Linked DNA regions of Macaca mulatta. The protein of the gene in region 6 binds, or shares a complex with, the protein of the main gene of each other region. Links are inferred from orthologs where the notes say so. Each region holds a gene or a part of one and is shown on either strand. Other genes may lie near its edges.

Region 1 (3,774 bases), on a different chromosome or scaffold from region 6:
TCTCACTCTGTTGCCTAGGCTAGAGTGCAGTGGCATGATCTCGGCTCACTGCAACCTGTGCCTCCTGGTTTCAAGCAATTCTCCTGCCTCAGCCTCCCAAGTAGCTGGAATTACAGGTACCTGCCACCACACTCAGTTAATTTTTGTATTTTTAGTAAAGATGGGGTTTCACCATGTTGGCCAGGCTGATCTCAAACTCCTGACCTCAAGTGATCGGCCCGCCTTGGCCTCTTGAAGTGTTGGGATTATAGGCGTGAGCCACCATGCCCGGCCTCTTTCTTTTTTCCTTTTTTTTTTTTTTTTTTTGGAAATAGGGTCTCACTCTGTCACCCAGACCGAAGTGCAGTAGTGCAATCACGGCTCATTGCAACCTCAATCTCCCAGATTCAAACGATCCTCTCACCTAAGCCTCCCAAGTAGCTGGGACTACAGGCTCACACCACTATGTCCGGCTGATTTTTGTATTTTTTGTAGAGACAGGGTTTCACCATGTTGCCCAGGCTGGTCTCCAACTTTCTGAGCTAAAGCAATCTGCCTGCCTTGGCCTTCCAAAGTGCTGGGATTACAGGTGTGGGCCACCGTGCCCAGCCTTGATTTCTTAAAATAAATGTATTTAAAGCCAACAAGTCTTAGTGACAATACCCATTCAATGCCACTAAAGCAGACAGAACTTGAATTTGGAGGTCTTACTTTGATATAATGTTATGCTTAACAAATTTCAACAAATCAACAAATACGACAGCTTGTGATATGCCAGGCACCACTAGTACCAGATATTTACCTATTATCAGTAAAACTTGAAAGGTCCAGGAGGCATTCTCCTTTTAATATCTGTGAAGAAAAAATTATTTTGGGACACTATATAATTAAGCATATTAATACACACACAAACATGAAATTTATCTAAATTTCCATATTGTTATAACACACACACACAAAACAGAATAATTAAATATTTCTTTCAGACTAGGATAAACTATTTAGCATGCAAATAACATTAAAAAAAAATTTTTTTTTTTTGAGACAGGGTTTGGTTCTGTCACCAGGCCTGGAGTGCAGTGGTACAATCATGGCTCACTGCAGCCTCAGCCTGCCAAGTAGCTGGGACTACAAGCGTGCACCACCACACCCTACTAATTTTTGTATTGTTTGTAGAGACGAGGTTTTGCCATGTTGCCCAGGCTTGTCTGGAACTCTTGGGCTCAAGCAATCCACCTGCCTTGGCCTCCCAAGGTGTTGGCATTACAGGCGTGAGCCACCTCGCCCAGTCCCTGGGATCCTTTAAAAAAAGTTTACTTTGCTAGAGATGTTTAGCATACAGACAATGGGCCATAATATAGATATCTGAGGAACACAAAACTGAATACAAAAGTTTGCATAAAAGAAGAAGAAACCAGTAAGGGAAGAATTTATGCTTAAAGAAAAATCTCTTAATATTTGAAAAGTGGGATACGTAATCCAAACCCCTCCTTTTACCAAAGAGAAATCTTGAGGCCTAACTACATTTAATGGCTTGATGTTGGGGAAGTAAGAAATTGAGACCCAGAGGAACAAGCCAATTCATAAATGTAGAAATAGCTAAGTTAATTACTAAGGAGAAAATGTCCAGAATGCACACAGATAGCTTACAAGTGGCTACAAAACTATCATGGATTTTCTGCTCGATTTACATGGAATTAAAACTGTGGTTGTTGGCCGGGCGCGGTGGCTCAAGCCTGTAATCCCAGCACTTTGGGAGGCCGAGACAGGCGGATCACGAGGTCAGGAGATTGAGACTATCCTGGCTAATACGGTGAAACCCCGTCTCTACTAAAAAAATACAAAAAAAAAAAAAAAAACTAGCCGGGCGAGGTGGCGGGCGCCTGTAGTCCCAGCTACTCGGGAGGCTGAGGCAGGAGAATGGCGTAAACCCGGGAGGCGGAGCTTGCAGTGAGCTGAGATCCGGCCACTGCACTCCAGCCTGGGTGACAGAGCGAGACTCTGTCTCAAAAAAAAACAAAAAACAAAAAACAAAAAACTGTGGTTGTTATACATCATCCGACTTTTAGTCAACAGTCAGCCGTTATTCAAATTGTGGCAGTAAATTAGTCAGCTTATTCTGACTTCCTGTTTTTCCTAATTCTTTGTCAGCCCTACTCTGATGTTCTGTTCTTTACAATTCTTTATCAGTACCTCCTACACAGTCCCTGATAGCTGGGACTGCGGTTGCCTCTGACAGTATGTTTACCTAACAGAACATATAGTTGGTCACATTTTTCAACAGCTCTGTTTCTCACATCACACAAGATCATAAGGAAATTCCGAATCACAGTAGAGGCTAAAGCCTGGGAATCCTGACCCTAAGTTCTATAATGCTGAGAACTTGCTTAAAACTTTTTTTTCTTCTGACACTACTGCTGCTGACCTGTAAACATCTCAGTCATCTAATTATAAGTACAGTACCTTCCTGTCAAAGAGTTTTGAAATATATGGCTTAAAGTAGTGCTCCTTTATTCCTTTTGCTTCTACTAGAAGTCCATCATGCAGTTCACACAGTACAGCAATGATGCAGGGCGGCTCTTCAGAAGCCCTAAAGTCAGCAGTATGAAAATCAGACGGTAAACCTAGTTTGACAGTGTAGGAAGAGCAGAGGGAAAAAAAAAATATGCTCAACTTTCAAAAATCTTCTTCCAAAAACTGATAATCAGTTTTCAAAAATAAATAAAAGGTCTTACCTTTAAATGATGGATTTAGCAAGTCTTGTCTATTTGGGCACATAATCGCATTGGCAAAAATCAGATCCAAGCAGCATAGAAGTAAATGATAAGAGTTTACTAAGTCATCCCCAATCATCCGAAAATTACCTTTATAAGGGGGGAAAAAAAGAAAAGACACAAAAACCAGAAACCTCTCAAGTCAAATAGAACCAAGTTCCCACAGTAGAAATGTAAGACCACTGAAAGTGTCATCTTACCCTTAGTATAAACAAAAAGTGTCCAACAGAAATTAAACAGATCCTTAACACTGCAAGGAATCCTCCTAAAAAGGGAAAAAAATTACTTTTTGTCTGACTAGCTTGCTAAATATCATGTAAACTGAAATAGTAAATATAAATATCAAATAGATCAAATTACACATGAAATTCCATTCATGAAGAAAAGTGATCTACTATTTATGAAATGGACTTAAGTAAGCCTTTACAATCTACATAAAATAATCAGAACATAGGGCCAGGTGCGGTGGCTCACGTCTGTAATCCCAGCACTTTGGGAGGTCGAGGTGGGTGGGTCACCTGAGGTTATGAGTTGGAGACCATCTTGGCCAACACGGTGAAACCCCATCTCTACTAAAAATATAAAAAATCAGCCAGACAGGGTGGTGCACACCTGTGACCCCAGCTACTCAGGAGGCTGAGATAGGAGAATTGCTTGAACCTGGGAGACAGAGGTTGCAGTGAGCTGAGATCACGACACTGCACTCCAGCCTGGGCAGCAGAGCAAGACTCCATCTCAAAAAAAAAAAAAAAGAAAGAAAAATAAGTAAAAGTATTATTCTGAATTTCCAAATATGGATAATTGTACATGGATTTAAAAAGAAAATAATTAAGCTCTTTGCAGGAATACTTTTCATAAAAAACAGACTTTCGAAAAAGTACATTCTCTTAGTTTGTATCATAATCTTTTTGTCAATTATGTAAGGATTAAGGGCTCACCTCTGCTTCCGGCTTCGCAGTAACTTTGGTGGTTCTTCATATGGATTTTGAAATATATCTAAAAAAATTGGCTCATATTTTTT
Region 2 (3,774 bases), on a different chromosome or scaffold from region 6:
GTGTTTTTTAGTAGAGACGGGGTTTCACCGTGTTAGCCAGGATGGTCTCGATCTCCTGACCTCATGATCCACCTGCCTCAGCCTCCCCAAAGTGCTGGGATTACAGGCGTGAGCCACTGCGCCCAGCCTGACCATTTTCTTCTTCTTTTTTTTTTTTTTTGAGATGGAGTCTCGCTCTGTAGCCCAGGCTGGAGTGCAGTGGCCGGATCTCAGCTCACTGCAAGCTCCGCCTCCCGGGTTTACACCATTCTCCTGCCTCAGCCTCCCGAGTAGCTGGGACTATAGGCGCCGGCCACCTCGCCCGGCTAGTTTTTTGTATTTTTAGTAGAGACGGGGTTTCATCGTGTTAGCCAGGATGGTCTCGATCTCCTGACCTCATGATCCGCCCGTCTCGGCCTCCCAAAGTACTGGGATTATACATTTTCTTCTTAAAGAAAGCCCATCTACTCCACATCTCAAGTCTATTCTGTGTTAGAAGAAACTGAAGTCGAAGAGAAGAGGCTAACCAAGAAGACACAGTGAGCTGGGAACTGGATGAGAACTAGACTCCAGGGTTCTCACTTTCTTGCTGAGGCCTCCCTTATCACCATCTGTTCTTTTAAGCTGACAGAAGACAGGGCCTTCCTGGGGAACCACCCTTCCTCCCGACTATGCATGCCTCTGGGAGTCCTGAAGCCGAGGCTGGGTGTTAGAGAACAAGAGCATAGGACCACAGTACCCACCAAGGAACCCTCCTCCATCAGAAACATGGGCCTGGCCTCCTGAGAACCTGCCCCAACCCCCAAGAAGACAGCTTACCTCCCTGGCAACATCTTGGCAATCTCGGCCCAGCGGTTGCCCAGCACCTTGTGGGCCTCGCAGATAATGCGGTCCTCCTCCTCGGTCCAGCAAGACTTCTTCACCTCAGGGTTGAGGTGGTTGTGCCAGCGTTCACGGCACTGCTTCCCCAGCCGGCCCTTCAGGTGCTTGGCAATCAGTGTCCACTGCTTTGTGCCGTACTTCTTAACCAGCTCGATGACCTTGGAGAAAAGCCTCTGGGTAGCCAGTTGCACCAGCCCCTCCCTCGCCCTTCACATCCACCTGAGCCTTGCCACGGCCCTGGGAGGTGCCACCTACCACATCCCCTCAGGCAACACGGAGCGGGTGGCAGGGGATGCCACGCAGTATGACTCTGTGTAGCCCATAAGTCCTACCTGAGGATCTGACCACACCCCTCTCATTTACTGCCTGGAATAAATCTAGGTCAAGAATGCCAGCGACTCTTTCTAGAGCAGAGATCAAGCCGGGGTAAACAAAGGCACCAGAGTCCTGCTTCCCTCTTCAGGGCTCAACCCAATAAGCTAAGTATAAAAGAGCAGAGGGATGAGGAGGAACAACCACAAGGGTCCAAACTAAAGGTGGGAAATAGACTTTCCCACCCCGGCCATGCCCCAGGCTGCCACAAGACCTCCCAGCACTTCTGTGGAAATTGGGAGGGCACAGGCTGAGCCATGGTAGCAGGCATGGCGGGCTGACCTAGCTGGACCTGAGTCCCCACCTGCCCTCAGTCAGGCTTCCTAGCTCAGGACACAAACCACAACATACTCAGCCACAAGAGCCAGGCCACGCCCTGCCTATACAACAGACACACACATTCTCGTGTGCACACAGGCCACAAGAAACTGGGAAGAGTGGATGCTTCTTTTGGCAAAGATTTTGGTGAATAAATATTTGACTTCATTTCTGTATGGTTTAAATTTTTATAGCAACCACATATCACTTTGTTTTTTGTTTTTGTTTTTTTTAAAGATTTTATGTTTTTACTTTATTTTCATTTTTTGAGATGAAGTTTTGCTCTTGTTGCCCAGGCTGGAATGCAATGGCACAATCTTGGCTCACCACAACCTCCGCCTCCCAGGTTCAAGCGATTCTCCTGCCTCAGCCTTCCAAGTAGCTGGGATTACAGGCATGCGCCACCACACCCGGCTAATTTTGTACTTTTAGTAGAGACGGGGTCTCTCCATGTCGGTCAGGCTGGTCTTGAACTCCCGACCTGAGGTGATCCGCCTGACTCGGCCTCCCAACGTGCTGGGATTATAGGCATGAGCCACCGCGCCCAGCCCAATTTTATGTTTTTACTTTTTTAGAGACAGGGTCTCACTGGTGTGCAGGGGGGCGATCTCAGCTCACTGCAACCTCTGCATCCCAGGTTCAAGCGATTCTCCAGCCTCAGCCTCCCAAGTAGCTGGGATTCAGGTACACCACCACACCTTGCTAATTTTTGTATTTTTTGGTAGATGGGGTTTCATCATATTGGCCAGGCTGTTCTCAGACTCCTGACCTCAAGTTATCCACCCACCTCAGCCTCCCAAAGTGCTGAGATTACAGGTGTGAGTTACCACACTCAGGCAAAAAAGTATTTTCAAACTAAATTTTATTTTATTCTTAAGAGACAAGGTCTCAGGCCGGGCCCAGTGGCTCATGCCTGTAATCCTAGCACTTTGGGAGGTCGAGGCGGGTGGATCACCTGAGGTCAGGAGTTCGACAACAGCCTGACCAACATGGCAAAACCCCCTCTCTACTAAAAACGCAAAAATCACCCAGACATGGTGGCGTGCACCTGTAATCTCATCTGCTTAGGAGGCTGAGGCAGGAGAATCGCTTGTACCTGGGAGGCAGAGGTTGCAGTGAGCTGAGATCATGCCATTGCACTCCAGCCTAGGCAACAAGAGCGAAACTCAACCTCAAAAATAAATAAATAAATAAATAAATTTCATTCTTTTTCTTTTTCAAGACAGAGTTTCACTCTTACAGCCAAGGCTGGAGTACAATGGCGCAATCTCGGCTCACTGCAACCTCCGCCTCCCCAGTTCGGGTGATTCTCCTGCCTCAGCCTCCCAAGCAGCTGGGATTACAGACATGCGTTACCATACCAGGCTCATTTTTGCATTTTTAGTAGAGACACAGTTTCGCCATGTTGGTCAGGCTGCCTCGAACTCCTGATGTCAGGTGATCCACCCACCCCAGCCTCCCAAAATGCTGGGATTGCAGGCGTGAGCCACCACACCCAGGCTTTATTTTTTTTTTTTTTTTTGAGGCAGGGTCTCACTGTGTCACCCAAGCTAGAATGCAGTAGTGTGATCATAGCTCACTGCGGCCTTGAATTCCTGGGCTCAAATGATCCTCCCAACTCGCCTTCCATCTACAGGCACCCTACCACCACACTGAGTTAATTAAAATTAATTTCAAGGTGAAGTGCCAGCCATGGCTCATGACTATAATCCCAGAACTTTGGGAGGCCAAGGTGAGAAGATAGCTTGAGCCCTGTAGTTCAAGACCAGCCTGGGAATCATAGGAAGACCCTGTCTCTATAAATTAAAAAAAAAAAAAAAAAAAAGGCTGGGCACAGCGGCTTGCGCTTGCAATCCCAGAACTTTGGGAGGCCAAGGTGGGTGGATCACAAGGTCAGGAGTTCAAGACCAGTCAGGCCAACGTGGTGAAACCCCATCTCTACTAAAAATACAAAAATTAGCCAGGAGTGGTGGTGGGAGCCTGTAATCCCAGCTCCTCAGGAGACTGAGGCAGAGAATTGCTTAGATCCGGGAGGCAGAGGTTGCAGTAAGCCAAGATCGCGCCATTGCACTCCAGCCTGGGCAACAAAGCAAGACTCAGTCTCAAAAAATAGAAAAAAAGAAAGAACAGGAATAGTGGCTCATACCTATAATCCCAGCACTTTGGGAGGCTGACATGGGAGGATCATTTGAGCCCAGAAGTTCAACCAGCCTGGGCAGCATA
Region 3 (3,774 bases), about 14 Mb from region 6:
AGGTTTATAGCAAAATGTTCAAAATGTATAAATAGGAGAGGGGATAAAAAGAAATCCAAATCCCTTACCCTGTTTCCAACCCTAAAATTCCACCCTCAAGAAAAGCAAAAAAACAACAAATCCTGGGTTTTGCTGCATGGGAACTGACTGATCACTGCTCCCTGGTAGCTCTCATCACTCTAATGAGTGCCTAGGCTTAGCACAAACCCTCTTTCTAGCATCTGAAGCATTTTGGGGTTAGTAAAGGCCAAGATTGATGTTAGGCTCACCTTTGAAGGACTGTTGCTGAAGTAATAGAAAATCTTTTCTCGAGGAGAAAGCATTGTTTCATTTTTATGTGGGGAAATGTAGACAGGATGATTTTGAGACAACTGTATTCGGCGAGGGGAGCCTGTTCTTACAAATGGATAGGGAGAGAGTGGAGGAGCATCCATCTGTTAAAAAAAAAAAATCAGTAACTCTAAGAAATTTATAATGAGGTATTTTTACTGAGAATGATAAGAGTGATATATTAGCACTAATTTAACCTAAAGAAAAACATTCTAATAGCAAACCTTAAGTGCTTAGTTTGTGCCAGTTATTATTTTAAGCAATTTTTATACATTATGTCATTTCATCCTTACAACTCCATATGCTAAGAACTAGTTATATTCCCATGTTTTATATATATGAGGAAACAAGGTACAGAGAAAATTTAATGATTTGCAAGGTTACCACTACTGTTACGTACTAGACAATTTGAACCCATGTAGCCTGTCTCTTGTACTACTATACTTTGTAGGGACTCCAAATACAATCTTATTCTTGTTTAATGCTTAACAACAGAACTTATGTTGGTTAGGTAAATTACAGACCTCCTCAGTTTTACTTAATAGAATTATTTGTAAAACTAGCTTATTTATTTATGAGACAGAGTCTCGTTCTGTCGCCCAGGCTGGAGTGCAGTGGCGCAATCTCAGCTCACTGCAACCTCTACCTCCCATGTTCAAACAATTCTCCTGCCTTAGCCCCCAGAGTAGCTGGGATTACACATGTGTTCTACCACGCCTGGCTCATTTTTGTATTTTTAGTGGAGACTGGGTTTTATTTACCACGTTGGCCAGGCTGGTCTCGAACTTCTGACCTCCACTGATCTGCCCGCTTCAGCCTCCCAAAGTGCTGGGATTACAGGTGTTAGCCACCACGCTTGGCCAAAACTAGTTTATATATGGACCAGGTGAATGGTCCATATATAAATCATAAATAATTCCTCAATACTCATGAAAAAAGCATGAAATGATCCCTGTAATACTTACTACATTTGCCTGGGAGTACTTCATGGCAAATGTCTTAATCTGTTTGATGTAGATGTTGTTGTAGAACTGAATGAGGTCTCCCCTCTCTTCTTCTTCCATGTCACTGTTGGCACCTGTGAGGCGAGTAGGTGTAGGAGGAGCACTGCTGGGCTGTGGAACTGGCAAGGTGCTGCTTGACCTCATGACTGGACTGGAGTCTCTACTGGCTGCTTCCAGGAGAACACAGGGTGTCAATACAAAAGCTGCTAGTATAGATTGTTTTAATTTTTAAAAAGTAGGAGAAAGGGAACAGCTACCTGCATTACTTGCTAATAACAGTGAATAGGCATTCTGTTCTTCACACCAAAAGGCAAAGCTCAGCTAGGATTTTAACTTGATATCCCTATGCCATAACCATAGCAAGGGCTTTCTGAGTAGTATTAATAAGCTACACCAAGTTTTCTAGGACCTAAGCCCTAGGACAAACCAACAGGTAGGGGATGGTATTTCCATAGCATGGCTCCAACTGACATGTCAGTCCTTTCTGAAACTCAGGCAAGCAGATTCCTCACTGAAAGCTCTAATTCTCCTGGAGAAAAATGTTATAGAATATGTGCCCCAAAGCTATGGAATGGACAGTTTTGCCACCCAGAATTTGGTTTACTGATCCATTAAACCCTTTGTTTATACACTTTCATAGTTTCTATAGTTATTTCATTTAGTAATGGTTACTTCAAGTCCTAAAAAGTAAGAAAAGCTCCTAATTTTGTCTTGTAGTTCACAAAGATCCCACTTACTTCTATCTTTGTTTAGTTCTGTTGGAGAATTCTGATGGCTTCTGCTATCACTGCTGCCGGAATTTCGTCTTTTTCTTTTCCCTTTTATCAAAACACTTCTATACACCTTTAGAGAAATAATGAGAAGGGGATGTAAACTAGTATTTGTTGAGCACACCCTTGGTGATAGGACCTTGACATATGTTACTTTTCACAATAATCTGTGTAGCAATAGTTGTCCTCAGAAGAGGTTAAGAAACATAACTCAAATTATAACAGATCTAAGATTCAATCAGAGCCCATCTAGCTTCACATGCCAAGTACTACTTGCAGTACCACGCTGCGGTAACAGCACCCAACCATAAAGTCAAGTCATTCTAAGTCAGATACACAGATCTGCCAATTTGCCTCTCAGAGACGAATCGTAATAAAGGCAAAGTGGGTTTTAAATTTCCATGTGACATTCTCTTGGTTAAACGTACAGTATGTTTACTAAACCAGAATGGTGACATAGAAACCAAGTAACTTCTTAATTCCAATCTATCTTGTGATTTTTCTGAATTGAGAAGGCAATCAAATATTTAACATTGTTGCCTTCTGAGGAAAAGAGAACTTAATCAACATGTGACATCAAGAATAAAGAAGATTAAAGCAGAAATTTCCCTTAAGTAGAGTCCCAGGTGTTTATCTTGGAAAAAAAGGCCACAGAGTCAACTATGGTTAATTTTTTGTATTCATCACAGACTTTAAGCGTTATTTTCAGCTCATAGAGAAAATGTAGTTACCTGGCTCCGGGCCTGTGGCTGAGTCCTATAACAACGCATAATATTCTGGAAGGACTTATCTTCTTTTGTGACCTGGCAAACAATAAGAGTGCTCTGAGAGATACAACAACTTCCACCATAATAGTGTGAGGAGCTGTGTGAACCTGCTGCCCAGTAAAAGGGGTGAAAATTATATAAAAGCTATTTAAAGTCTCTGGAAATGGTATTAAAGGCATATAGCAAATGAAGATACATCGATTCAAGAATATCTATTAAAATTCATTAAGAATAATATGTGAATCAAGACTTAGAGGCCGCTGCGGTGGTTCACACCTGTAATTCCAGCACTTTGGGAGGCCGAGGAGGGTGGCTCACTTGAAGTCAGGAGTTCAGCCTGGCCATCATGGTGAAACCCAGTATCTACTAAAAATTCAAAAATTAGCCAGGCATGGTGGCATGTGCCTGTAATCCCAGCTACTAGGGAGGCTGAGACAGGAGAATCACTTGAACCCGAGAGACGGAGGTTGCAGTGAGCTGAGATTGAGCCACTGTACAGTCTGGGCAACAGAGCAAGACTCATCTCAAAAAAAAAGACTTGGAGTAGAAAATTACAGTAACTGAAATGAAAAATTCACTAGAAGCTAGGGAAAATAGATTTGAAGTAGCAAAAAAACCAAAAAGATTAGCAAACGTGAAGAGATGGTGTGATCTGAGAACAGAGAAAGAATGAAGAAAAATAAACAGCCTCAGAGAAATGTGGCACAGCATTAAGGAAATCAACATAAGTGTAATGGGAGAATCAGGAGAGGAGAGAAAGAAGCAGAAAAAAATGTTCAAAGAAATACTGAAAACTTCCCAAATTTATTAAATTACATCTCCAGGACATTCAGTAACTTGCAAGTAGGATAAACTCATCTATAACCAGATATATCACAGTAAAAATGCTCAAAGCCGAAGAAA
Region 4 (3,774 bases), on a different chromosome or scaffold from region 6:
CTGTGGCCCTGAGCAGCTCTCGCCCACGAGTCTCCATCACCATGGCTGCCACACCATCCCCTCTGGGAGGGCTCGAGCACACCTCGGCCAGAGCAGCAGTCAGCTCTGCACTGAGCACCTTGCACACGACCCCCTCCACACCAGACACGGGGCCCCCAGGGGTGCCGCCCACCCTCAGCACTCAATGGGAGGTGGGAAAGGCCAGCTCCAGGGCCCTGATCAGCACTGTCAAGACCCAGGTGCATTGCGCCCACCACAGTTTTACATGCCTCGCCTGGCACCTGGGCCTTGGGTTAAGCACCTCTGAGGGGATTTTTCAAATGCTGCTTTTGCATGAAGTCATCCCTCCATCTGTCTTTTGGCTGTTTAGACACTGTGACGAGGGATACACACATACACATGCACACACACAGGCACATGGATGCAGGCACACACACGCAGGCACGCACACACATGCGTGCACACACACGCAGGCACACACGCAGGCATGCACACACATGCACACACACAGGCACATGGACGCAGGTGCACACACACATGCACACACACACGCACGCATGCATGCATACGCACACACATACACAACCTCGCTCTGGGAACACGGCCCACATTCAACACCTATGAGATGAACTCACACTCAGAATCTTAAAGCAGTCATTTAATTTGCCACACAGGAGCGTAACCCAAGGCAGTATGTTGCTGTTATAAAACTAAATTAGTAAAATAAAAATTACCCTGCCTCCAAAGATATGTATTCTCTTACCTGTAGAATAAGTTCTTGAAGTTGAGACTGTTTCTGTTTTATTCTTTCAAGTCTCCTCTGTCTTTCCACCTTCAAAAACAAACCCCCCATGTAGAGAATCATCACGATTGTTCCATACAGTGCATTTTACAACCCGCATCCTCAGTGTTACCTATGTTTACCTTGAATGTAATCGAAGGGATATGGACAAATCTAGACATAGCAGGTGCCACAAAATACAGGTGAGTTTTTCTTCCATTTCTAAACTATACCTTTTCCCCTCTCCTCTCATTTCTTGGATTTAACTATGGTATCTAAAAAGAAAACAAAAATCCCACAAACTAGGATTCACAATTAACCTATGCTAGAGTTTAACACACTCTAGTGGGTCTGGACCAACCATGCTCCCTCCCCTGACAGCCGAGACTGAGAAACGCAGGGAGACGTCTGCATGACCGTCTGCCAGCCGTCTGGACACAGAGAGCATAAGGGCATGGAGCCCAGACCCTTCTGAGTGACGGACAACAAACACATCTACACAGACTTGAAGGGAAATCAAGGTTGAAGGGCCACCTCTAAGTTCTGACATTCCTGAGCCGAGTTGGTGGGCAGACCAATCCACTTGATCTCCTTCTTCTCCTTGGAGATGATGTTCATGGCCATCAGCACGTTTAAGGCATCGTAGACGCGCCGTCTTATGTTCTTCTGGTCATAAGCCTGCGGATGACAGGGAGTGGATTTTCCAAATGATCCAAAAAAGCCTGTGGATCCCACCTTAAACTGTAGGCCACGCGCACCGGCTTGAAGGGGCACCCCGCTCACAGAGCTGTCACCCCAACACGTCCTCAGGGAGCACTCCCACCCTACAGATGATGCAGGGCAAGACAGGGCTGTGCGAATCCCGGTGTGTTCCAGGAGGGGAGCTGGGGGCCCTCTGGTGTCGAGCCCAGCTGGCGAGGAGGGCACGTCTGCATTTCTGGGCCGCTGGATGTGCAGAGCCAGCCCACGTGCTCGCTCACTGACGCTGACAGAGCATCATGCCAGCAAATGGACTGGGAAAAATTCTGTCATGCTGTACTTGGAATTTTCTGTATGGTTTTAACTGTTCCCAATATTAAAAGAGTAAAACGTGCCACACCACTTGGTTCCGCTACCCTGGCCTCTCGGCCCCCAGCACACACTTACTGACTCGTTTGGTAAGATGTGGTTGTCGGCAGCACTGAACTCCGCGACCAGCTCGTCCGCCACTTCGTTGTAGGAAGTGGTCCCTTTCCTCTGCACCTTCTCGCAGACCTTCATGGAGAAATGCCGCAGGCCCTTGCCATTCTTCTCTCCTTTCCTGTTGCGCTTCCTTCAAAATACAAAGGAAAAAAGAAGCGACTGTCAGCCCTCCTGAGCATCAGTCTGAATCGAGGAATGCTTTTACCTGAGAGCTCTAATGAGCTGCACAAAAAGGGGCCACATCCCACGGGCGCAGCAGATCCAACACGTGAGCAGGCCAGGACCACCTAGCCCCAGCCCCCAGGCCCAGTGCTCCTGCAGGTCAGAAAGCGAGTGTCTCCCTGGCAGGCTGCACCTCTGTCCTTCCAAGTGTCAGGGAAAACGGGAGGCGTCCCCAGGACCCGAATCAGCATATGGAAGGCCTATCAGTACTCAGCATATGAGAGGCCTATCAGTACACCAAGCACTTCTTTTTTTTTTTTTCTTTTTTGAGATGGAGTCTCGCTCTGTAGTGGGCTGGAGTGCGGTGGCACGATCTTGGCTCACTGCAACCTCCGCCTCCTGGGTTCAAGCAATTCTCCTGCCTCAGCCTCCCAAGAGCTGGGATTACAACAGGCGCCCGCCTGCCACCACACCTGGCTAATTTTTTTGTATTTTTAGTAGAGACAGGGTTTCAGCATGTTGGCCAGGATGGTCTCAATCTCTTGACCTCATGATCTGCCGGCCTCGGCCTCCCACAGGGCTGGGATTACAGGTGTGAGCCACAGGCATCACTTTTCTAAAGAGGGCAACCAGAATCAGGAACTATGGGACATTTCAGTGTACATTTGGGAATTTTTAGGACAAATTTCAGCAGGCTATAATTTCATACGGCTTGGGCTGTGATAGCCGCTTGACAACAGGTGCAAACCACTAAGTGTTCTTCACACAGAGGGAAAGCCCAACTCTACACTCTGGTCAGTCCCCACGTGGCGGGAAAGGTCACCTGCGGTCCCAGCTGGTGAAGCTTTGGGCACCGACACAGGTAGGTTTTTGTAGCTTTGCATGTGTGTTTTTTTAAGGAAAGACACAGCTCATCAGATCTTGCTTTAGTGGAAGGAGCCACTCTGGTGGGACCACTCACGGGGGCCGTAACCCCAGGGGCAGTAGAGGCTGCATTCAGGGGCAGTGGGTGAAATCCATCCCGCGTGCTCCCAGCACAGACGATGAAAAGTCTCCAAGGTCCTGTGGCAAGTACAAGGCCAGCTTCTCCCCGTCTTGGCCAAGAGCTGCCAGCCCTTCCAAGAGCACCCACTACACCAGACACAAAGCAGGGTGGGCAGTGCCCAGCCCGACTTCTCCGTGACCGAGGCAGTGCGCCTCGACTGCACACCTGTGCGGGGCACGATGATGGGTGAGTGTGATTCGGAGGCTGACATCAATGCGCATGGGAGCCCCACCGTGCGACTGTGTCACGCACGTGGCCCAGGAGAACGTGGAGGTGCGAACCGCAAGCAATCCTACAACTCTAAGGGTCCGGAGGGAAGTGCTCACCCGGCAGACCAAGGTGAGGAGTCGGAAGGCTGGTTCTGAGAGGCAAAGTGAGTGCTGGGGGTGTGTGGGCTTCCTACCACCAGGGTGTTTGACGCTGCCGGTCTCTGAGGCGTACCAATTACCTATAGTCAAAAAAGACAATTCAGACAGTCAGTCCCCGCCCACACGGCGAGGGTGCCACGCCCACCAACTGTTCGCTATCCACAGCCACTGTGGAATTTTGTTAACCACAGCGAGCAGCCACGACGGGGCAGGAAAAACGTCCGGCGGTGGCCGCT
Region 5 (4,254 bases), on a different chromosome or scaffold from region 6:
AGGTGAGTGGATCACCTGAGGTCAAGAGTTTGAGACCAGCCTGGGCAATATGGTGAAACCCTGTCTCTACTAAAAATACAAAAATTAGCCAGGTGTGGTGGTGTGTGCCTGTTATCCCAGCTACTGGAGAGGCTGAGGCATGAGAATTACTTGAACCCAGGAGGCAGGGATTGCAGTGACCCGAGATCGTGCCATGGCACTCCAGCCTGGGTGACAGAGTGAGACTCCGTCTCAAAACAAAATAAATAATAATAACAATAAATTAGCTGGGCATGGTGGTGTGAGCCTATAGTACCAGCTACTTGGGAGGTTGAGACGGGAGGATAGCTTGAGCCTTTGAGGGTGCAGTGAGCTATAATCATACCACTGCATTTCAGCATGGGCAATAGAGTGAGAGAGACCCTGTCTCTAAAAGAAAATTTTAAAAAAAATTATTGGGGGTACAATCTAATAACCTACATGGGTGACCTTATCCCACAGTCTGGGATAGAACTCAGACTCTGCTGTGAGTCTTACTCTCATAAATTAAGTAATTAGATGGCTGTATTTGAATTTCAGTTTTCTCCTTTTCAAAGAAGCTCCAGCAAATTTATCACGAAAAAGACAAAAGAGTAAATGACAAACATTTTCAAGTCAATGTTATCTGAATTAAATTTTAAAGACAGTGACAGGTGGAACACTAAAAATAGAAGTGAGAGAGCTAGGCCATGGAATATTTTGGAATGAGATACTTACTGAGACGTTGAATTTAAGTTCAAAGTGCTTGACTTGATTTTTTCAGATTAAAAGAAAACATTAGGTGGAGAGGAGTAAAACTTTGTAAGAGATGAGAATGAAGACTTTTAAAAATCAAGAGTGCAAATAAAGTGACCATAGGGATGGCTAGAAGACCAAAGGAAAAAAATTTAACATTTTTAATACTCTTCCTGGCCAAAGAAAGGAAACTAAATTGAGAGAAGACAAGGAAAAAAAAAAACCAAACTCAAGGAACACATCTCTAAAATCCCCAAAATTTGTAAAAACAATTTTAAAATAAACTAAAAAATTTAATAACAATTACCTCTATTTCTATCACTTGGCTTTTTAAAAAAATTGTGGTGAAATATACATAAATTTTACCATTTTAATAACTTTTAAGTATAGAGTTCAGTGGTATTAAGTACATTAATTGTGCAATCATCACATTCATTTCCAGAACACTTTCACCTTCCCAAACTGAAATTTGGTACCCATTAACAATAACTCCCTATTCCCTTTTTAAATGCCTTTCTTTCTGGCGAGAGAAGGACATTTTTGCAAGAGAGCACCCAGGAAGGAGAATCTCTTTTGACTCCAAACATCCAAATTTCTTGTTTTTCCTTCTTTTTTTTTTGAGACGGGGTCTCGCTTTGTCACCCAGACTGGAGTGCAGTGACATGAACATGGTTCACTGCAGCCTCCACCCCCAGGCTCAAGTGATTCTCTTGCCTTAGCCCCCCAAGTAGCTGGGACTACAGGTGCACGGCACCACACCCAGATAATTTTTGTATTTTTTTGTAGAGATGGGGTTTCACCATGTTGTCTAGGCTCGTCTTCAACTCCTGAGCTCAGGCAATCTGCCTGCCTCAGCCTCCCAAAGTGCTGGGATTAGAAGTGTGAACCACCACGCCCGGCCATAATTTCTAACACAGTATGTACCTGTGCTCACAAAATTTAAGACTCGGTTAAACGTAAAACTTAAGATCAAGTAATATATTATTTCTGCACATATCTAATCAATCTTTCAATACATGTTAATTAAAGACCTACTGTTCGTCAGGCACTGTGCTAAACCTGGAATCCAGCTATGAACAAGACAAACTTGTAATTTATAATCTAGCGTACAAGGGGCAAAGTTAACATAGTAACTATGCTGACAAGGAAGATACTGAGGCAATGAATAATGGTGGGGAAGGGCAACTCCAGATACTGTGTTCTAAGAAAGACTCTTTGGGAGGTGACATCTAAAAAGAGAACTGAAACTGGAAAAAAAAAAAAAAAAAGTGTGTATGTTTGAGTCATCTTTTGGTCTCCCAAAGCACCTAGCATTATGCCTTTCATGTAGTAGGTACTCAATACAGCTCACCTTGGCTTCAATTTCTTCATTCCTGCAATGAACTTCCAAGATTCCTTCCAAATACAAAATCTGTTTGTCTAAGGGAGGGAAACCTATATATCAATAAAATCGATATATAGTTGGGATGCGGATGGTAGAACTAAAAATGAGTTTAAAAATGACTGCAAGACCCTCTCTAAAGCAGAACCAAAAGCAAAAGCATGGGAGTATACCAAAACAACTTGTTACTTGAGATGACTTGCATTTTACACAACATATAAACAGAAATCGTTCATTCACTCAGCCTTAAGAAACAACACGTAAAGCAGATGAAAGAGCGGTTGCGACCTGTGCAAGACAACACTTAAAAGCTCAATACTCATTCTCCTCGCGACTCTCTCGGCGAGGGGCCGAGAACGTCCCCCGCTTCTCTTGCTGCCACGGCAATGGTCCCAAACTGAGGAGACAGGAGAGAGATCATGTTTCTCTTGCGGTTCACTATCGAGATGGGGTCAGCCAGCAGCCCCTGCGAGGGTTTGAGAATCGTTCCATCTGTGCGCTCAATCAGAAGAGAACTGATCCTTTCAATGGGATACCCCAAGGAGAAAACTACAGTAAGGCACGTCCTCCAGTAACATCTCCTCCTCTACCCTCAGCCTCGCCCAAATAGAGATAAGGAAGGGCCAGGGCGACCCCTGTCCTTTTACCCAGAATGAGTCCCTCCCTAGTGCCCTCCTCCACACGCCTGGTACAGAGCAGGGAAACTGGGCACCTCTGAAGCTGCTGCGAAGAACCGGTGAGCTGAAGACGGCGATGGATCGCAAGAAAAAAAACAAAAGGGAAAGGAGAAGAGCCCAAGAAAGAAATGTATGTTCGAGGGGCAGAGACAGAGTGGATGTTCCCCATACAGCAAAGAAGGAGGCTGCAGGCAAACATCCCTAAGCCGGCTCTTACCGTCTGTGGGAGACGCCATCTTCCAACCCATGTCACGTGACGTGGCCAACCGTCGGCGGGAAAACGAGGATCCATAAGCCACGCCCCCAAAGAGAAACCCTATCCCCAACTCGCAGCCACGTCTCATTCCCTCGCCTCATAGGGCAATCTTCGCCCAGCCCCTCCCCTCATCATAGCCACGCCCCTTATGCAGTTGTTGAGGTGGAGCGACAGCAAAATTCTTGGAGGGTCTTATTTACTTTGCTCAGTGAAGGGGTGGGGCCTCGGTTGCGTCCTTGGCCAATCGGAGTTCCAGGTTAGGGGGCGTCTCCTCCGTGTGCTCAGTATGGAGTGTCCAAGTCGGGGGCGTCTTCTCTACCTCCGCCAACGGCATTGGCTGAGGTAGGAGAGGGTGCGAGCATTTTCGCTCCTGACCAATCACTTATCCCCAGGACTGGGGTGTGAGAGGAGGAATCAGGTGTTAGGACGAGTGATTGGCTGAAGAAAATAGTCCTCCCCACCAATGAGGAAGCCCGGCAGGATGGAGGGCTAGGCCTGGCAGCTGTAGTGCGTCTGAGCTGTAGAGGAGCGGGTTGCGGAGCTAGGGCGGCCGAGAGCCATGGCGGCGGTAGTGGCGGCGGCGGCGGCGGCAGTGCGAGCCAGGATCCTGCAGGCGAGTGAGGGTGGCGCCAAGGCACCATGAAGCTAGGAATTGGATCCTTTCCGTCCGCTCCCTGAGCCGTCCTCGGGCTGGGACCACCTTCTTGGCCCAACCCCTTTTTGGCCGGACCTCCTACCTAACCTGTGGGCCCTGTCCCATGCCCAGCCCTCACTTCATACCCTCCCTCGTCCCGGATCCAACCCTGGGCTGTTACCCTTGGCCCTCTACCCTTTTACTCCTAAGCCTCCTCTTTTCTGGCTCTCGCCCACTCTCCTTCTCCAGCTCTGCCCGCTCCCTGCTGTCAGTCTCTTGCCCTCATCTCTCCATCCGCCCACCGTCTTTCCCTTTCACCTCTGCACCAGCGTTCTCTCTATCCCCCAGAAACTACTCTTTTTGGTTATTCTGTCCCCTGCCTTGAGCGTCCACGTTGCCATTGCTCCCTTCCCCCACCCTACTTCACTGTCCGTGGTGATCCGAGGTAAGAGGGAGGGGGAACGTGAGGGGCGAGGGTCAGTGTATGAACTTTGAATTTTCTTCTAGAAGTGGACTCTAGATTTTCACCAAAGGCAGCCATTTACCGAATTAT
Region 6 (4,286 bases):
TGCCTCACCTGTGATCTCAGCTGCTGGGCCAGCCATTCCCTGGACTTCTGCGCTGCCGGGGACAGGAGTGGGAGTGAGCTGAGGACTATTTGGACGTGAGGCTTCCTGGGATTGGGACTGGGCTAGGGCAGGCTTCGGCAGAGGTGGAGGCGTGGAAACAGCAGGTGGGTTCTGGAGCAGATCTTCAGGTGGTGGCACAGGCACAGCCACAGGGGGTGAGCTCCATGCCTCCTTGTTCACCAGCAGAACCTCAATGGGACCACTCACACTCTTCAGGTGAATCTGGTACTTCTTCTGCCCATTGAGACCCTAGAGATGGGTGGTAAGGGATGGGAGATGGGTAGAATTGGAAGCAGGCTTGGCTCCTGCCCGACTCTGTCAGGACCAGTGTCCTCTCCCACCCAGGATGCCCATCCTCCTAGATAACCCCAAACTCCAGGCCTCCCCTACCTGCCCCACCCGGGACTTATCAGTCTCCACAGCCAGCACCCGCCCTCAGCTGACCCCGCCTGCCTGGGCTAAGCACCCACCTCTGGGATGGGCACCTCCAGGCTGGTGCCTGATGGGGCCCGGATGGCCAAGAGGGTATCTCCTAGAATGACATGGAGAATGGGTCAGAGCCCATGGGCTCAATCTGAGCTGGGAACAGAGGTGCCTGTCTTTTGGAGCAAGGCAGGAGATCATGGTCTCTGAGGGACTAGACAGTGGACCTCACCCATTCCCCATAGTGGCTGGGCAGAGCTAAAGCTCTTCTCTTCCTGAGAGCCCAGAGTCAGTAACCAGGAAATCTGGGTTCAAGTATGTGGAGTCAAATATCACTGGCCACAGGCACCTCACTCTTCCACCGATGGCTGTTCCCTAGGTGAAGGTATTCTAGCCAAGGCCAACATCCCTTTCCCATGACCAGTCAGGAGGATACATGATGGAGAAGAAACACATCAGCGGGGCACAGTGGCTCACACTTATAATCCCAGCACTTTAGGGGGTTGAGCGGGGAAGACAGCTTGAGCTCAGGAGTTCAAGACCAGCCTGGCAACATAGCAAGACCCTGTCTCTTTTTAAAAAAAAAAAAAAAGGAAAGAAAAAAAAGGAACATATCCTGCATTCACAATGCAATTAAACTAACAAGTTGGAGGTGGGCACCCCCATGCCCTGCATGTAAGAGCCTGCACACAAGCAAATACACACATATCCTCTCTCCCTTTCTCCCCCTTGTACCTCTATCATACTCAAGAAGCCAAATCCAGGAAACAGTACAGTTGGGAACAGACCCAGGAACCCACTCCAGAATTCCTGTACCCTCTTGGTATAGCTGACCTCCACAGGGTCCCAGTGACACTCAGACAGAAGACTTACCCTGCCTGGTTCCTCTCTGAGCAGGCCCCAGAAACCCTCTTAAGAGACGGAACTCTCCTGAGACACTGAACCCAGTGCTCAGGGATTTGGTTGAGCCCAGCCCACCCCCTCACCCCTACCCAGGCTCTGCTCACCAGCAAAGCATCTGCAGATGTCCTCATGAGTGACGTAGGCCAAAGTGTGAGGGTTAAGGAGAATGGCCGATGCCCTATGGTGACAGATGGCAGACTACAAAAAAGACCCAATTCTTTAGCCAAGGTCTGACACAGAGGCCCCTCAGAGAAAGTTCTGGGGACTCAGGTCCACTGGGGGAGGGATCACAGGCTAAGACTGGAAGGGGAGAGGCTCTGAGGAGGGAGCCTGAGGCTGGGCCATGGCCAGGGGCCACAGGACAAGCTCCCAAGAGGAACAGGGAGCTTGCCCAGGGCAAGTTGAACCAGAGGGCCCCTTGCCCACTCCCCCCAGGAGGGAACGCCAGGAGGATATCAGCTGTTCTGCACGTCCTCTGTGACGTTCCGGATGCTCTGCTGCACCCACACCTTGTGCTGGTCTAGTTCTTGCTCCCGCTGCTGCAGCTCCTCGATCTCTGCCTTGAGCTCAATCAGCTTGTCGGCAATCTCCCGGGTATTGCAGCCAGGCCCCACACCCCTGAGCCCAGGGAGTGGGGCTGAGAGGGACTGCTGAGAACTCTGGGTCCCACGGCCCCTGCCTTCTTTGGCACCCTCCACCCCACCCCCGACACTTCTGGGTGGGAGACTCTACTACCCTCCCACTATCCCCACTCACTTCCACTGGATGCTGTTCTTGGACTTTTTCTCGATCAGCCCGATACCTTCCAAAACATTGGTAATGTCGTAAATCCGCCGCTTCTGGCGTACAGCTAGGGTGTCAGCTGCCTGGCAGACAGAGTGGAGAATGCTCAGCCCCACTCTCGGGTGTACCCCCAGCCACCCTGAGACGTGGTCTGGGAAGGGAGTAACCTGGATTCCAACCCTGTAGTGCCTGCCAGGCGCTACTGCAGCTCAGGCCCGCAGCTCTGTCCCATAGGCAGCTCTTCTCCTCGCCAGCCAGGAAGGGCCACGAGGACGAACACCTGGAGCCCCGAGCCTGGCCCATAGCTGTAGCTCAATGGCCTCGGCCGAATGAATGAAACATTCCCCGGCTTCTCTCCTGTGAGAAAGCACACGATGGCGGCCGGCTCTCGGAGGACCCAGCTGGGCCGCCCCCGGGGTTCCCGCTACCGGCCCAGGCCTGGTCCACCATCCTCCCTTGTCGCCCCTTAGCCCGGGCCGCACCAGCTTGAGGTCAAGCACGCCGTCCTTGGCCTCCTGCAGAAGAGACACGAACTTGGTGGTGAGTAGTCCCAGGCTCTTTTCGTGCCGGCTTGGAGTGCCCGGGGGCGGCGGCGCCTGCGGCCCGGCCTCCGCCATCGCGTCCGCCCGCCGCCTCCCCTCAGCCAGGCCAGGCCAGGCCGGCGCCGCCGCCACTTCCGCTTCCGTTCCTGGCCGTCCGGCAGCCGGAGCCAGCGTTGCTGCTTCCGCTTCCGCCCCGTGCGTCTTCCAGGGAACGCGGCGCTATTGCTGTCTGTGGGTGCAACCGCAAAACTTCAGGGACCATTAGCAAATGTCCAGCCGCCGAATAAGACGAAAACTACCTGGGTAGACCGGGAGTTGGGATGAAGTTAGGGAGGAATGAGGAGGGCGTCAGTGGGCAGCCCTGGCAGTAGAGAAAGGGATGCCATCGGAACTTTCCTTGCCAATCTGCCCCAACATCACTAACTCTGCCCAGTCCCCATCTCGGGAGACAAGACCACACTACCTGACTAATCCAATCTGTTCCCTCAAATCAGTTCCTTTTAAATTTTTTTCTCTTTATTTATTCTTTTATATTTCAAACTCATTTTACTGCCACATCAAAAATGTTCCTAAAGGTTCCCCTACTGTCTTGGGGTCACCCCATCTATTCCTGTCCCTCACTTCCTGCCAAACAGCAAGCACTAACTATATCTACCTTGTCCACCTCTCTCCATCCATGGTCCTAGCCTCATCTTTCGCTCATCTTGTCCTCCCGCTACAGTGCTCAGAGACTATGGGGTTATATACACTTCAGCCAATGCAAACGTATTTACCTATGTGTATATATCAGTAAAGCACTCAGAGTCATTTCTGGCATGTAGGAAAGTTTGCTAGGGTCATTTTGTTACTTGTAACATTGTTACTATTTATTATTGTTTCTTTTAGGTCAGGTTCTATGGGAAATGGGACTCGAGACAGGGTTTTGCAGCAAGTTTGTTGGGGATCCACACTTCTTTTTTTTTTTTTTTTTTTTGAGACAGGATCTCACTCTGTTGCCCAGGCTGGAGTGCAGTGGCAAGATCAATGCCATCTCAGCTTCCTGGGCCCAAGCGATTCTCCCACCTCAGCCTCCCAAGTAGCTGGGACCACAGGCATGCACACACCATGCCTGGCTCATTTATTTTTAGTTTTTGTAGAGATGAGAGTCTCACTATATTGTCCAGGCTAGTCTCGAACTCATAGGCTCAAGCGATCCTCAGACCTCATCCCAATGCTGGGATGACAGCGTGAGCCATCACACCTGGTCAGGATCCACACCTTTAAGGGAGTAAGACAAGCAGAATCGGGCAGATGCAATTATATTATAGGCCTCAGCCTATGCCACTAGGATCTCTGAAATTGGGGTAGCACTTCTGAAGAGTTTATGTTCACGTGATGGTACCATGCTTTTGCACCCCAATATTGATCTCAGCAGCCTACACTCCTGGCAGCTGGAGAATGAGCACTTCTGTCCTGAAGGGTGGATTTGGGTGGTGGACTGAACATCCACTAAATTATTACCACCTTATAGTCCCTTCCCTGGCTCCCTATAACTCTCAAGATAAACACAGCTGCCCAGTTGCGGTGACTCACGCC
Region 7 (3,774 bases), on a different chromosome or scaffold from region 6:
ATTGAGAATTCAGGCTGCCATGCAGCTGTATAGGAATCTTTAACATACAAACCAGCATTTTAAACTAGAAAATATTAATTTAAGGTTTTGGTCACTTGAAACAAGCTTGTTAACATGCTAGCATAACTTTTTTTATACAAGTTTTTAATACGTAGTTTTGATTATAATGTATAATTTTATAATTTTGTTTTCGTATCCTAAACATCTTCCCAATTTTAAAAAATTATAAATATTTTACTGTGGCAGTATCTTTAATCTCCATGTGGAGATTATATTCAGTACTCTAAAGACCAGAATCCCAGGTTATAAGCCTCATTAAGGTGTCTGACCATTTCCACTTTATTCAGTCAAAAACTATTTGCTGCTTATATTCCAGTCATAAGAGTTCTTTAGACTTAATATCTTAAGGCCAGGTGCGGTGGCTCACTCCTGTAATCCCAGCACTTTGGGAAGCTGAGATGGACAGATCACCTGAGGTCAGGTATTCAAGACCAGGCTGGCCAACACAGACCTCATCTCTACTAAAAATACATAAAATTAGCTGGGCGTGGTGGTGTATGCCTGAATTCCCAGCTACTTAGGAGGCTGAGGCAGGAGAATTGCTTAAACCCAGGAGGCGGAGATTGCACTGAGCTGAGATCATGACACTGCACACCAGCCTGGGCAACAGAGTGAGACTATCTCTCAAAAAGAAAAGAGAAAAAAAAAAACAAAAAACTAGTATCTTAAATATTTGAAAAAAAAAAAAAAAGCCTTATTTTTATAAGCACTGGATCTCCTTTTCAACTGAGGCATTTTATTTTTGAGATGGAGTTTTGTTCTCGTTGCCTAGTCTGGAGTGCAATTGTGCGATCTCGGCTCACTGCAACCTCTGCCTCCCGGGCCCAAGCGATTCTCCTGTGTCAGCTTCCCGAGTAGCTGGGATTACAAGCGTGCACCACACACTCAGCTAACTTTTTGTATTTTTAGTAGAGATGGGGTTTCACCACGTTGGCCAGGCTGGTCTCAAACCCTTGACCTCAGGTGATCCGCCCACCGCGGCCTCCCAAAGTGCGAGGATTATAGGCGTGAGTCACCGTGCCTGGCCTACTTAGGCATTTTAAATCATATGCCATTTGCAAGGTGCATTCCATTTAATAATTCCTCAAATTAACCTCTAACAAACTTTCTAATACCAGTCCAGTCCAAATCACAAACTATGTTTTATCAGGTCTTGACAGACACTGCAGATATTACAGACATGCCTTATTTCTCACAGCCACCTGGTATAGGCTATTTTAAGGACAAGAAAACTGAGGCTCAAAGAAATTCACAAACTACTAAGCAGCACAGATAGTATAAACTCAAGTCTACCTGACTTTAGAGGTCAAGCTTTTCTACTCCAGAACTCAGCAGATAAGAGATAACAATAAGGAGCTGCACTATTACAGTGTGATGGGTGGCCCAATAGGATGGGAAAACTGCTCCAAGAAATGGAAGAGGCAAGAGAAGGTAAGAAAATGCAAAAACAATAATTACACGTTCAGCGAGACATATGAAACATCTGGTTTTCTTTAGGATTCCTCAAATTACATAATTACCTCATCTTAGTAGAAATTAAGCACAGTGGACTAAATCATTACTGTGCATTTTCGAACTGCCCAATAATCTGACAGTGGCTTCTGTTACCTTTAAATTCCTTTACAAGTAACTAAAGATGGAAAGAAAATGCAAAAATCAGGTTTGCAACAACCAAAAGTATAAACTCAACTTTGCCCCCTGAAAAGAAACTTTATCAAAAGTGAGTATTTGGGAAATACTATAAAAAGATTAAAATACTGACTTACTTTCCGCCTCCACTATTTAAAGCTGGTGTTGGCCTAGTAAGCAAGTCTGAAATTTGAGAGGATAACTTCGTCTTGGCTGCTGTTTGTTGCTGTACCCTTACTTCAGCTGCATCTGCCAAATGCATCAATGTCTTCCTTTCCGGGCTTTCTTCAAAATTCTTACAGCCAATACATTTGCATATTGAGGAACACATTATTTTTGCCTAAAAGATTTACAAAAGAAAAGTTTCCAAATCAAAACCAAAATACATTACTGGAAGTAGATGCCATGATCAAATCAACAGCTAATAGCATTACCTGGTCAACTGATAATAAGATTAGATGGAAGCATCTCTGGCTGACAAACAGTAACTACACATGTGGCTAGCTAGGTTAGGTATTCTTAAGTCTGACAGTGGCTGTATAACATTTGTGGCTGTGTCCTTCCATGTCAGTTTTCCCCCACTATGGATATAGATTTTCCTCAGATATGAATAACACATGTTTCTCATAACATGAATGATACATTAAAATATCAAAAATAAGGGTCATCCAGAATCCAGCCACCTCAATCAAATCATCACTAACATGTAGATGATCTCCCATTTATGCATATGTATATAATTTCATATTAAAGGGATTTCATAGATGCTATTTTTATTATTCTATTATGCTATTTTAATCTGAAGAGGGAGTTCGGGAGGGACTTCAGATTCCCAAAACCCTTCAATAACCCATATGAAACTAGGGTGTGTTTTACATTTTATATAAATATATATTTTCATGTAAAAATGTCATATATTTATATAAAACCGTAGACCTTATGTATATACACAAATACAGAACTTTCACTTTTTAGTTTTTCAAAGTCATATACCTGCTTTTTTGCATCTTGCTTTTCTTATACTACAACTCATGGAATCCCTCCAAAGTCATCTGGCATAGCTTGAATTCATTGTATTTAACGGCTCCAGTTCTTGGGTACCACAAATGATGCATAAAGAGTATTTTTTTTGGTATACATTATGCCTTTTTATTTCTCTGAGTTAGATTTCTAGAATTGGGCTCACTGGATAACAGGTCATGTATTTTAATTTTTTTTTTTTTTTGAGACGGAGTCTCGCTCAGCCACCCAGGCTGGAGTGCAGTGACACGATCTCAGCTCACTGCAAGCTCCGCCTCCTGGGTTCACACCATTCTCCTGCCTCAGCCTCCCAAGTAGCTGGGACTACAGGCTCCCACCACCACGCCCAGCTAATTTTTTGCATTTTTAGTAGAGAGGGGTTTCACTGTGTTAGCCAGGATGGTCTCGATCTCCTGACCTAGTGATCCGCCTGCCTTGGCCTCCCAAAGTGTTGGGATTACAGGCATGAGCCACCGCGCCCGGCCAGATTGCTTTTTCAAACGGCTGTAATACCTCACATCTCATCAGCGATGTGTAAAGGAAGGATTTCCCACATTCCCTCCAACAATGGATATTATAATTCCTTTTAACATTTTATGCCAGGCATGGTGGCTCACGCCTGTAATCCCAGCACTTTGGGAGGCTGAGGTGGGAGGATCACCAGAGGTCGGGAGTTCAAGACCAGCCTGACCAACATGGAGAAACCCCGTCTCTGCTAAAGAGAAAAAAAAATTAGCCAGTGGCACATGCCTGTAATCTCAGCTACTCGGGAGGCTGAGGCAGGAGAATCGCTTGAACCCTGGAGGTGTGGAGGTTGTGGTGAGCCGAGATCACGCCACTGCACTCCAGCCTGGGCAACAAGAATGAAACTCTGTCTCAAAAAAAAAAAAAAAAAAAAAAATTTATAATCTGATGGTGTGGGTGATAAAGTGAGATTTCACTGTTCTTTAATTTATATTTCCCTGATTTCTAATGAATTTGAGTATGTTTTTGTTAGCTGCATTTTCTTCAGTGAACCCATGTCTATATAAATAAATAAAACTGTCCTTTCTCTCTATACCACCT

Evidence for each region.
Region 1: E2F4 (region 6) and RBL1 share a complex: the UniProt entries of both Homo sapiens proteins name them as parts of the DREAM complex. The link is inferred for Macaca mulatta from reciprocal best matches to the Homo sapiens genes E2F4 and RBL1.
Region 2: E2F4 (region 6) and MYBL2 share a complex: the UniProt entries of both Homo sapiens proteins name them as parts of the DREAM complex. The link is inferred for Macaca mulatta from reciprocal best matches to the Homo sapiens genes E2F4 and MYBL2.
Region 3: E2F4 (region 6) and RBL2 share a complex: the UniProt entries of both Homo sapiens proteins name them as parts of the DREAM complex. The link is inferred for Macaca mulatta from reciprocal best matches to the Homo sapiens genes E2F4 and RBL2.
Region 4: E2F4 (region 6) and TFDP1 share a complex: the UniProt entries of both Homo sapiens proteins name them as parts of the DREAM complex. The link is inferred for Macaca mulatta from reciprocal best matches to the Homo sapiens genes E2F4 and TFDP1.
Region 5: E2F4 (region 6) and LIN52 share a complex: the UniProt entries of both Homo sapiens proteins name them as parts of the DREAM complex. The link is inferred for Macaca mulatta from reciprocal best matches to the Homo sapiens genes E2F4 and LIN52.
Region 7: E2F4 (region 6) and LIN54 share a complex: the UniProt entries of both Homo sapiens proteins name them as parts of the DREAM complex. The link is inferred for Macaca mulatta from reciprocal best matches to the Homo sapiens genes E2F4 and LIN54.

Annotation. Positions count from the first base shown.
Region 1 is NC_133415.1:89,928,126-89,931,899, forward strand, and holds part of RBL1 (retinoblastoma-like protein 1), read right to left. Parts: coding exon 3,692-3,774; intron 3,019-3,691; coding exon 2,954-3,018; intron 2,844-2,953; coding exon 2,715-2,843; intron 2,604-2,714; coding exon 2,443-2,603; intron 832-2,442; coding exon 782-831; intron 1-781. UniProt on the Homo sapiens protein: Key regulator of entry into cell division. Directly involved in heterochromatin formation by maintaining overall chromatin structure and, in particular, that of constitutive heterochromatin by stabilizing histone methylation.
Region 2 is NC_133415.1:96,521,619-96,525,392, reverse strand, and holds part of MYBL2 (myb-related protein B), read right to left. Parts: intron 1,020-3,774; coding exon 799-1,019; intron 1-798. UniProt on the Homo sapiens protein: Transcription factor involved in the regulation of cell survival, proliferation, and differentiation. Transactivates the expression of the CLU gene.
Region 3 is NC_133425.1:48,962,334-48,966,107, reverse strand, and holds part of RBL2 (retinoblastoma-like protein 2), read right to left. Parts: intron 2,908-3,774; coding exon 2,836-2,907; intron 2,178-2,835; coding exon 2,072-2,177; intron 1,505-2,071; coding exon 1,296-1,504; intron 435-1,295; coding exon 270-434; intron 1-269. UniProt on the Homo sapiens protein: Key regulator of entry into cell division. Directly involved in heterochromatin formation by maintaining overall chromatin structure and, in particular, that of constitutive heterochromatin by stabilizing histone methylation.
Region 4 is NC_133422.1:107,853,016-107,856,789, reverse strand, and holds part of TFDP1 (transcription factor Dp-1), read right to left. Parts: intron 3,619-3,774; coding exon 3,497-3,618; intron 2,094-3,496; coding exon 1,928-2,093; intron 1,460-1,927; coding exon 1,316-1,459; intron 833-1,315; coding exon 764-832; intron 1-763. UniProt on the Homo sapiens protein: Can stimulate E2F-dependent transcription.
Region 5 is NC_133412.1:147,266,603-147,270,856, reverse strand, and holds the start of LIN52 (protein lin-52 homolog), read right to left. Parts: upstream 3,067-4,254; 5' UTR 3,060-3,066; coding exon 3,029-3,059; intron 1-3,028. Other genes in the region: ALDH6A1 (methylmalonate-semialdehyde/malonate-semialdehyde dehydrogenase [acylating], mitochondrial), read left to right, coding at 3,627-3,680.
Region 6 is NC_133425.1:62,733,893-62,738,178, reverse strand, and holds the start of E2F4 (transcription factor E2F4), read right to left. Parts: upstream 2,828-4,286; 5' UTR 2,787-2,827; coding exon 2,652-2,786; intron 2,527-2,651; exon of another isoform or gene 2,473-2,526; coding exon of another isoform or gene 2,337-2,472; intron 2,253-2,336; coding exon 2,143-2,252; intron 2,005-2,142; coding exon 1,843-2,004; intron 1,535-1,842; coding exon 1,491-1,534; intron 593-1,490; coding exon 531-592; intron 310-530; coding exon 9-309; intron 1-8. UniProt on the Homo sapiens protein: Transcription activator that binds DNA cooperatively with DP proteins through the E2 recognition site, 5'-TTTC[CG]CGC-3' found in the promoter region of a number of genes whose products are involved in cell cycle regulation or in DNA replication.
Region 7 is NC_133410.1:50,841,135-50,844,908, reverse strand, and holds part of LIN54 (protein lin-54 homolog), read right to left. Parts: intron 2,030-3,774; coding exon 1,827-2,029; intron 1-1,826. UniProt on the Homo sapiens protein: Component of the DREAM complex, a multiprotein complex that can both act as a transcription activator or repressor depending on the context. In G0 phase, the complex binds to more than 800 promoters and is required for repression of E2F target genes.